Bombyx mori: one gene and its partner. The protein of the gene in region 2 interacts with the protein of the main gene of each other region in a biochemical or structural test. Links are inferred from orthologs where the notes say so. Each region holds a gene or a part of one and is shown on either strand. Other genes may lie near its edges.

Region 1 (4,654 bases), on a different chromosome or scaffold from region 2:
TAGATGTATCATAAAGATTTATGGGGTGTTTGGAGGATTTGTCAATAAGCACACAGGCACAGCATAACTTTACCTGATTTTATTAGACACGACTGAAGACTAACAAGATGCAAATAGCAATGCAGCGTTTTTTATGGCCTTTGTAAACAGACAGGCTTGTGGACACCTGATGGGGAGTAGTTGCCCTCATACATGAAGCAATGTCAGCAATGCCAGAGGCACAGCCAAGTTGCAACCGCTAAGTACTCTTTGTAAGCCTTGTTTGAAGAAGCACATGTCATAGCGCTAAGGAAAGGGGTGAGTTAATTGCAGAACCAGATGGTATGTGGAAAATATCTCTGCAAATGCACTGTGAATAAACACAACACTTTCAAATAGTATTGACAAATTTTAATCCAAAGGCGGGGGTGCGTTTGATTGTTTAAAAATCGAAATAAGCACTATACTGGAACTTGATACTTACAACATTAGTGTAGTCTTTGATTTCAATAAAAATGAATGCATGTTTTTTACACATTCTTACATTCTACATCTTATGAAACTTGCAATAGTATTTAGAATATAAATCAACTAGGTGGAAATCAATTAAGAATAGTACCGGCAGAGGGCGATTTAATTTCACTAGTTACTAAATAAATATTAATAGTGAACATTTCTAATGAGGGACCGCCTAATAACACTTGGATGGACTGCGTGAAAGAGCACATGTGAGAGAAGGGTGTGAGTGCAGAGATAACGTATGATAGGTCTGAATAGAGAAAGAGGACATGCTGACATGAATGAATAGGTCCTCTACACTACGGGATAAAGGCAACAATTAGAAGACTCAAGATTTCTAATGTGTTACATATTAACAAATCCGTGGGGCTTCATTTTATTAAGGTCATTCCTAGGTCTACATTAACCAAGTCATAAGTGAACAGGTGCTATTTATTAAAAGCATACCACTTCAATTTCCAATGTTAGGCACGGACACTGTTTCTTTGTTAACTTCATTTTTAATGATTTTACATTTTTCAAGGAGACAAAAGATCTTGCGAGATTACCTGAAAATTACAGTAAGTTGTATTACGGCATTTTACAATTTTGCTATCTGCCACAGCCATGCTCCTAGTATTACTGATATTCACGAATGATGATGGGCTTTAGAGGGGCCATGATTCTGTTTATTAGCAATAAAAAAGGAACACATTAAAATTCAACATTCCTTATAGTAATTTACTGCACAGTAACATGATTTTTTGTCTGTCTGTCTGTAATATTTATTTTTAAAGCATTGTTATTGATACTTTGCTATAGGGGTGGTTGTTACAGGAAAATCAAGGGTTTTTTGTGATTTGGCAAACTAAACTAAATGATGCATAATGAAATTGATGGATTGGTTACAAGAACTAACTATGATAACTTGGAAAACGATCTAACAGTCCTCAAGTATTCAATATAAATAAGTATCTAAGATACTGTTGATTATTTTACTTTAAGTACACTGGTGGTAGGACCTCTTGTGAGTCCGCACGGGTAGGTACCACCGCCCTGCCTATTTCTGCCGTGAAGCAGTAATGCGTTTCGGTTTGAAGGGCTGGCCAGCCGTTGTAACTATACTTGAGACCTTAGAAGTTATATCTCAAGGTGGGTGACGCATTTACATTGTGGATGTCTATGGGCTCCAGTAACCACTTAACTGGTCCACCCATCTAAGTAAAAAAAAAGTGCAACACATTGTCATAAAAAACGAACAGTTTCAGAACTGTTTATAAACTGCTAATTCCTACACACAAACACCAAAATCTTACAGATAACACCTAACACACACAACCTAACCATGCCAAACACTTAAATTACATTTGTGTTCAATTGTCTCTTATGTTTATTGTTATTTAATTTTCTCTATGTTGAACAGTGTATTAAACAAAGAATGCTAGGCAAAATATAAATACATGTGAAAAGAGGTTTAAGCTATTAATATTGCATGATTATCATTTAAAACATTTTGGAGTGCAAGTAAACAATGATTTCTAATATCTGATTATAACCCCTAAGGGTCTGGAAGTCTGGCATCTTAAGCATAAGCTTAAGGTCAGCTAGTCCTAAAATTTTTCCACTCTTTATATTTTAAATTTTTTTATTTTATATATTTCTAGACACCATGAAACTTTAAATGGTATTGGGAAAACAACAATTTATTATTTATTTAAGATGTACCTGAATGAAGATCACCACTTTTTTAAACTTAATGGCTATTAAGTTAATATCAATGATTATCAATATCTAAACATTTGATATTGGAAATATTCACCAAGAATAATTTATTTATTTTATCATAGCACTTTTTAATGGAAATTATAATACCCGAATTCAATCCTAAATAAATGTCTTGGTGAGTTTCATCCATTCCAACCAATTGATATTCAGAGAAAAATACACTTTGTGGTATTTCACACCATAGTACCGGAGGGGCTGGTCCAGTGTTTTCATCGCTGACAATGAAATACAACATATCGTCTGCTATCCTTAGGACACACTCCTTAGACAGTTTTGATATTGTACTAACAATAGCTGAAAACAAAATTCTGGTTACAATAATCAAAAACTAGTAAGCAACACCATTAAAGCGGAGTTTTACTTGAGAATTCGCGTATTGGAGAAGAGTTATTCATAACAGCACGGAATTTCATAGTGATATGTTTTTCGTCTTTTGAAAACAGTTGTTTAATTCGTGCAAAATGAGATGATGAATTGCACACTATTTTAAGATATATAATAATTAGTAACTAAACACAGTTTCGACATGTAATTTATGTTTTATTTTTCCAATACTGTGTTGTTTTCAAAACTTAGGCAGCGCGAAAATTGAGTGAGCATTGACAATATAGATTTGGCTAGTATTGCAACTGCACAAAAACTCTTATCAGTATTGAAATCGACTTAAAGTGCAAAGGTGATTTCATGATGCAAACATTTTGGTTCATTGAGAATAAGTAACGAAGGCTATCCAGCTGTAGTTTCTGTGAACTAATAATAATGAGATACCCCGATGAAACTGTTAAGAAAGCCGAGAAATAAGTAATGGCTTTGATCTTTGACAAGAATGCTCCTACAATATTCAATTTGTAATTTTAAACATTCTTGCTAAACGGTGTTTTAAATAACAGAGACTTTTAGCTAATTAAAGTTTTTCGGAATGTGTGCTTAAGGTATCTTACAGAGCCAATTGATTTAGTCCCTAAATGTAGAATGATGCTCGTAAGAAAATATTAGGATATTTCTACCGTTTTTGTTGATCATCTTCTGTTAAAGAAGAAAACTCTCGTTTACGCCAGTCTGAATCTGCTACATCTGTACGTATAGGATATACTACGTGAGCCGGAAGCACCTAAAAGAAAAGATCAGAGTATCTTTTCAGCGTGAGACGAAGTTTGATACAAAATTCGTTCTATTGTAAAGAATGTGTGTTAATATTGGCGATGATAAATATTTAATATGTAGGTATAGGTGCATACATTTACATGTAACTGTCTCTATCACAGAGTTTAGTAGTTTGGGTGTTAACAAAAAAGGTAAGATCTTACACCGAGCGGATAAAATTGCTCGGTAGACTAACGGTTCTAATGTTGTGGTTCGAAACTCGTATCTATGCAAATTTATCTTGAAAATGTTGTTAACAAGATTCAGCCTTTATTGCTTAGATGGATAGACGAGCTCACAGCCCACCTGGTGTTAAGTGGTTACTGGAGCCCAAGGACAACGTAAATGCACCCACCTTGAGATATAAGTTCTAAGATCCCAAGTATAGTTATAATGGCTGCCCCACAATACAAAACCGAAACGCATTACGATTTCACCGCAGAAAATAGGCAGGGTGGTGGTACCTACTTGTTATAATGTTATAATGTTCGCCGAAGCACGAGTCGATTGATTCTTTAAGACCATGCGGAAAAGATGCACATCCCTGATTCGCCGGGTCCGGGTCAGCCCTAACAGCATCCTGAAGGCATTAACAGACCATTATGACTGTCGGTACTTGAATCATTGTACCATGGGTCATTTGCGGACTAAATAATAATAATCGCGTTTTTAATAATGGTTGGTTCGAAGTAATTATCAGTTGAATAGAATATTTTAGATGTATTCAACTGATAATTATTTTTAATAAATGTATCTTTTGATGATTGAATGATGATGATTTGAACTTGATTTAGTCGAATCCATTCCTTTGCGATCTGGCAGCTTTGACCATAGAGTACAAACGTCACTGGTCTTGAAGGTAGATGGCGCTAACATGTCATCCATGTTGACAAGTTTCTGTTTACGGTTAGGTATTTGTCTCTATCTTGCACGAGAGTTTTACGGTATGCGAAAAAAGGTAAGCGATGTTCCATTTTGAGTGTAACGAAAACTAACGAATTGTGGTTATACTATGACTTAAAAAGTTTTTATTTATTTTTATCAAATTATTGTGCAATTCAAACTATTTTGATTCAATTACACGTATTATTTATTTTTTAACTTTAGATTCACGACCTTTGTTTTGTTAAATATTTGTTTAATCAGAAGAATTTATGGAGAATAATGAACGGTCAAGGTATGTTTGCGATCGATAATGTCGTCACACGGATGTGGAATACACGTAATTACTTATAAATGCACTAAAAGA
Region 2 (4,654 bases):
TTCCAGTAATTTTCAATTGCTAATTAACACTAAAATTAATCTCAAAAGTTAATATTTTAAATTTTACACTGCTTTAAAAAATAATCAGTTTTTTTTTTCATTTCCTGAACATTTTACTTTTTCAGAGATGTGCCCTTTTCGAAATTGCATATTCAATTACAATGATTACATATATTTTTATCTTGCAGCCATGTACGAACACAAGATCTTCACGCAAGGTGTGATCTGGGATATCAATTCATACGATCAATGGGGAGTTGAACTCGGCAAGCAATTGGCCAAGGCAATCGAGCCTGAGCTGCAGGGGACTGCAGCTGTGACCGGCCACGACGCTTCCACGAATGGACTCATTAACTTCCTCAAGAAGAACTTTTGAGATTATAGTAGAATGACGTCACACATAGTTTAATTTGCTTTGGTGGTTATATGTGTAATCGAGACATGAGTCGACTATTATCAAAGCCGGCAATGTGACTTTTGGACAATTATTGGTAAATCAGAAAAACGAATTATTGACTTTGTATTCCATTGGCAGTCACAAAACTCTTCTGAACGACATCCTAGATAAATCACAGGTTAAGTATTAACCTTTATTTAATGCAGGTTTTGAACCGTATTCTTTGAAGGAGACGATTATATTCAAATCAATCTGTATTGACATATCAATAACATTTTTTTGGCCAAATGCACAGGTTGCCACCTTTGATAATAGACGACTCACATATGTATTTGCCGGAATTAAAAGTTCTTAGTTCTTAATTGTGCACAATATAAAACATCATCAATAATCATAACGACTGATATTCGTTAGTTTTGAACAAAGAACAATGTTTGAGGTCTTGTTTGCATATATTTTTTTAAATATATTATTTTGTTAAATTATTTTAGTAAGGATAATTAAAAAAGATATTTAAAAAAAACACAATAGTTTTATTCAATTCAATCATGTCTTAGAATTACAGGATGATACATAGATACATGTGTTCTTAAAGCCGAAATGGGAATACAAATTGCTGTATTTAATGTAAATATACAACAATAATTATTTGAAATATATAGTTATAAGTATAAGTTTATGCTTGTTGTTTTAAAAGATTTATAGATTATTTAGTGGACTGGAATGTAAAGTGAAGGTAATTCAACGCGTCACAGGAGGTCGATGAACTTGTGTATCAGCCAATTTTTTATTTTTTTTAATTCCATAGATGAGTGGACGAGCTCACAGCCCACCTGGTGTTAAGTGGTTACTGGAGCCCATAGACATCTACAACGTAAATGCGCCACACACCGTGAGATATAAGTTCTAAGGTCTCAGTATAGTTACAACGGCTGCTTCACCCTTCAAACCGAAACGCATTACTGCTTCACGGCAGAAATAGACAGGGTACATGGCCAACACCAGTCTTTCATATGATGTGGTTAGAGGCAACTTTTTATTAAAAAATTTCCCTTGCGCGATGAACTTCGAATATGTATCGAAATTTTATATCTACACAACTTTGATTTACAAATGATTATTGTTTTGTTTTTCAGAAAAGGTACATTAACCCATTATCGGCTTTGACAACTGTTTATTTTAGTTCGAGGAATCTATCCGTACATAGATATTAATTGACTCACATAATCATTTCGGTTTCCGACCGCGTCCTCCACCTCCGGTCTTAGTTTTCTTCTTTGCTGAATTCTTCTTGTCCTCTTCAGCTTTACGTTTCGAATTAGGCGTTGTCGTTAACTGTTGATAGCATGAACATATATGTACATATTTTTAAATGTAATTAGCTGATCCGGCAGACCCGTAATGCCTATAAAAGACTTAAACTTTTGTATAAAATAAACTTAAAACAAACAAAAGGAATCCGTCCGACGGGGGACACATCAAAGGGAAAACAAAATTGTTATTTTTATTTAATTCCGAGCATTTTCATATTTATCTACCTTTTAAACTTTCTCTGAACTTCCACAAATAATTCAAGACCAAAATTAACCAAATCGGTCCTGCCGTTCTCGAGTTTTAGCGAGACTAACGAACAGCGATTCATTTTTATATACATATATATATATAGATTTATAATTGAATATTACTGGTATGAAGTCTCCACCGGTAGGTACTTAAGTTCCGGCTCTTCTGCTACAATTCATATTTTTACCTCATGTCTAATGGTGGTAGATCGGTGATATAAAAATACTGCATGTAAAAAATTAGGCTTTACTAATGTTACTTGCATTACATGCCTGTTACACTATCCTATTAAAATTATTTAGAAAACAAAAAAGCTTGTCAATTACGTTATGTCTTTGGGAACAATCTCTATACACCCTGTATATGAAACCCAAGAGTTAAGAAAGATGAATCCGGTAATTTATTTTGGAGGAGGAAGCAAATAAGCTTACAGGTTCCTTATAAAATGTATGTAGATATTTGTGGCTCATTACCGATATATAGCAATAAGCTTCCAAGTATCACATATGACGAAACGTAATACAAAATTGAACTGTAAATACCGTGAAGAACCCATCTAATCTGGCCTGTGTGGTGCCCGTCCTGGCTTTAATTAACTTCTTAGCTCCATTCCTCACTCGTTCTTCATTGAACTGTCTGTCCCCACACAGAAACTTCACGAGGCCCTCTTCATCGGGATCAGTCCATTTCAGCTGTTAATTTAGAATTAAAATTATCTTTATGAATAAAATTCATTTGTTGAAGTGTTGTAGGGACCACAAATGTCCCCATAGCAACTAATAATTATATGTATGTGTTAGCTGTAATTAAACGGCCGTCTGGTGTAGTGGTAAGTGACATGGTCACTACACAAGGGGGTCGCGGGTTCGAATCCCGCCAAGGGAAGATATTTGTATGATAAATGTAAATGTCTTTTCCAGGGTTATGGATGTATATTAAATATATGTATGTGTATAATAAAAATCTTACATTTATATCCGTTATCTGGTACCTGTAACACAAGTTCTTTATGAACTTATCACGGGACCAGTTAACGTGGCGTGATTGTTAGTAAATATTTATTTATTTAATTATTTAAAAAAAAAAAAAAAATTATTACATTGCAATTATGCTACGTCAGTTTCGGGATTGTCGGGCTGTCGATAGCACGTTACGTTGTAATCCCAATATACGTTAGTCACTTAGCGAAACACGTGTCTTATTAATCCTGGTAATCTTACTGGTGGTAGGACCTCTTGTGAGTCCGCACGGGTAAGTACCACCACCCTGCCTATTTCTGCCGTGAAGCAGTAATGCATTTCGGTTTGAAGGGTGGAGCAGCCGTTGTAACTATACTGAGACCTTAGAACTTATATCTCAAGGTGTGTGGTGCATTTACGTTGTAGATGTCTATGGGTTCCAGTAACCACTTAGCACCAGGTGAGCTCATCCACACATCCAGGCAATAAATAAAAAATAAAAAAAATCCTTGCCCGATATAGACTCAACAGTATCTTGGGGCACAATATTTCCTAGCATATTATGTATACAGACAGTGATAGCTACCACAAAGCAGATTAATTGTTGTAGGCTATTAATACTCCTTACTTCCAGCAAAAATGGTATACTAGGGCTCAAGTTTTAAAATAAAAATTCATACCTCAATGTCTTTAGGGTCAGCGACTTCAGGTTCCATGAACAGACTCCTAGCTCGCTCGTAATCCCAGTCAGTGGGAGGTTGGTACTTCTCAGTGTCTATATTCTTGAGTACTTCATCCAGTGTCCGATGTTGTCTTATGAGGTCGATGGCTCGTTTTGGGCCAACCCCTCTAATGGAACCACAGTAATCACAGCCAAGGAGTATGCAGAGGTCAATAAACTGTAACAACAGTTCCATCATTATTATTCCAGAGTAGTTTTGTAAATCAAAATATTGAGGGATCAAGGCTATTTTATTTTTTATTGCTTAGATGGGTGGACGAGCTCACAGCCCACCTGGTGTTAAGTGGTTACTGGAGCCCATAGACATCCACAACGTAAATGCGCCACCCACCTTGAGATACAAGTTCTAAGGTCTCAGTTACAACGGCTGCCCCACCCTTCAAACCCAAACGCAATACTGCTTCACGGCAGAAATAGGTGGGGCGGTGGTCTCAAGTATAGTTATATAGCTATATATAGTTTAAGGGACATTTCCCTTAATGCACGACATTTATCTTTGTAATTAAAGGTGGCTTTTATTTGGTATTATCATCAACAGTTCAATGTTTTAAATTGAACTTAAATTAAGTTTACTTCATTGAAATAGCTCAATAAGTTTTAATGTTATGTTTTTTTTCCAAATTATAAACTCTCAATGGCTCTCTTGTAATGTTACAAAAATGTCACTTAAACCAATAAATAACCTTTCACTCCTCAGATGTGAAACGTAATAATATAAAAAAAAAGTCTTGATGCCACAACCTCCACCTCTTCCAGTTAGTATCTAATGTAGCTGTCTATATAAATCCAGACTATTGTAGCACTCTTGTAAAATATGTGATTAAACTCACCGATTATTTAACAACAATGCATTTGAAATTTTTAGAGGGAACTGTTTAGAGGTTTGACATTGTGGCACATATATAACGCTAATTAGATGTAATAATTATCTATATGTCGGCGCAGCGCCAGGGATGGCTAAGCGGTTGTTTCCGTCATCACTTGTATTCGATT

Evidence for each region.
Region 1: the proteins of flap endonuclease 1 (region 2) and checkpoint protein HUS1 form a complex in vitro, tested with the Homo sapiens proteins (2 studies listed by BioGRID). The link is inferred for Bombyx mori from reciprocal best matches to the Homo sapiens genes FEN1 and HUS1.

The regions. Positions count from the first base shown.
Region 1 is NC_085134.1:9,690,475-9,695,128, reverse strand, and holds the start of checkpoint protein HUS1, read right to left. Parts: upstream 2,894-4,654; 5' UTR 2,676-2,893; coding exon 2,624-2,675; intron 2,571-2,623; exon of another isoform or gene 2,557-2,570; coding exon 2,350-2,556; intron 1,047-2,349; coding exon 946-1,046; intron 1-945. Other genes in the region: myb transcription factor, read left to right, coding at 4,560-4,582. UniProt on the Homo sapiens protein: Component of the 9-1-1 cell-cycle checkpoint response complex that plays a major role in DNA repair. The 9-1-1 complex is recruited to DNA lesion upon damage by the RAD17-replication factor C (RFC) clamp loader complex.
Region 2 is NC_085126.1:8,813,016-8,817,669, reverse strand, and holds the end of flap endonuclease 1, read right to left. Parts: intron 3,819-4,654; coding exon 3,600-3,818; intron 2,653-3,599; coding exon 2,503-2,652; intron 1,733-2,502; coding exon 1,625-1,732; 3' UTR 910-1,624; downstream 1-909. Other genes in the region: glucose-6-phosphate isomerase, read left to right, coding at 189-376. UniProt on the Homo sapiens protein: Structure-specific nuclease with 5'-flap endonuclease and 5'-3' exonuclease activities involved in DNA replication and repair.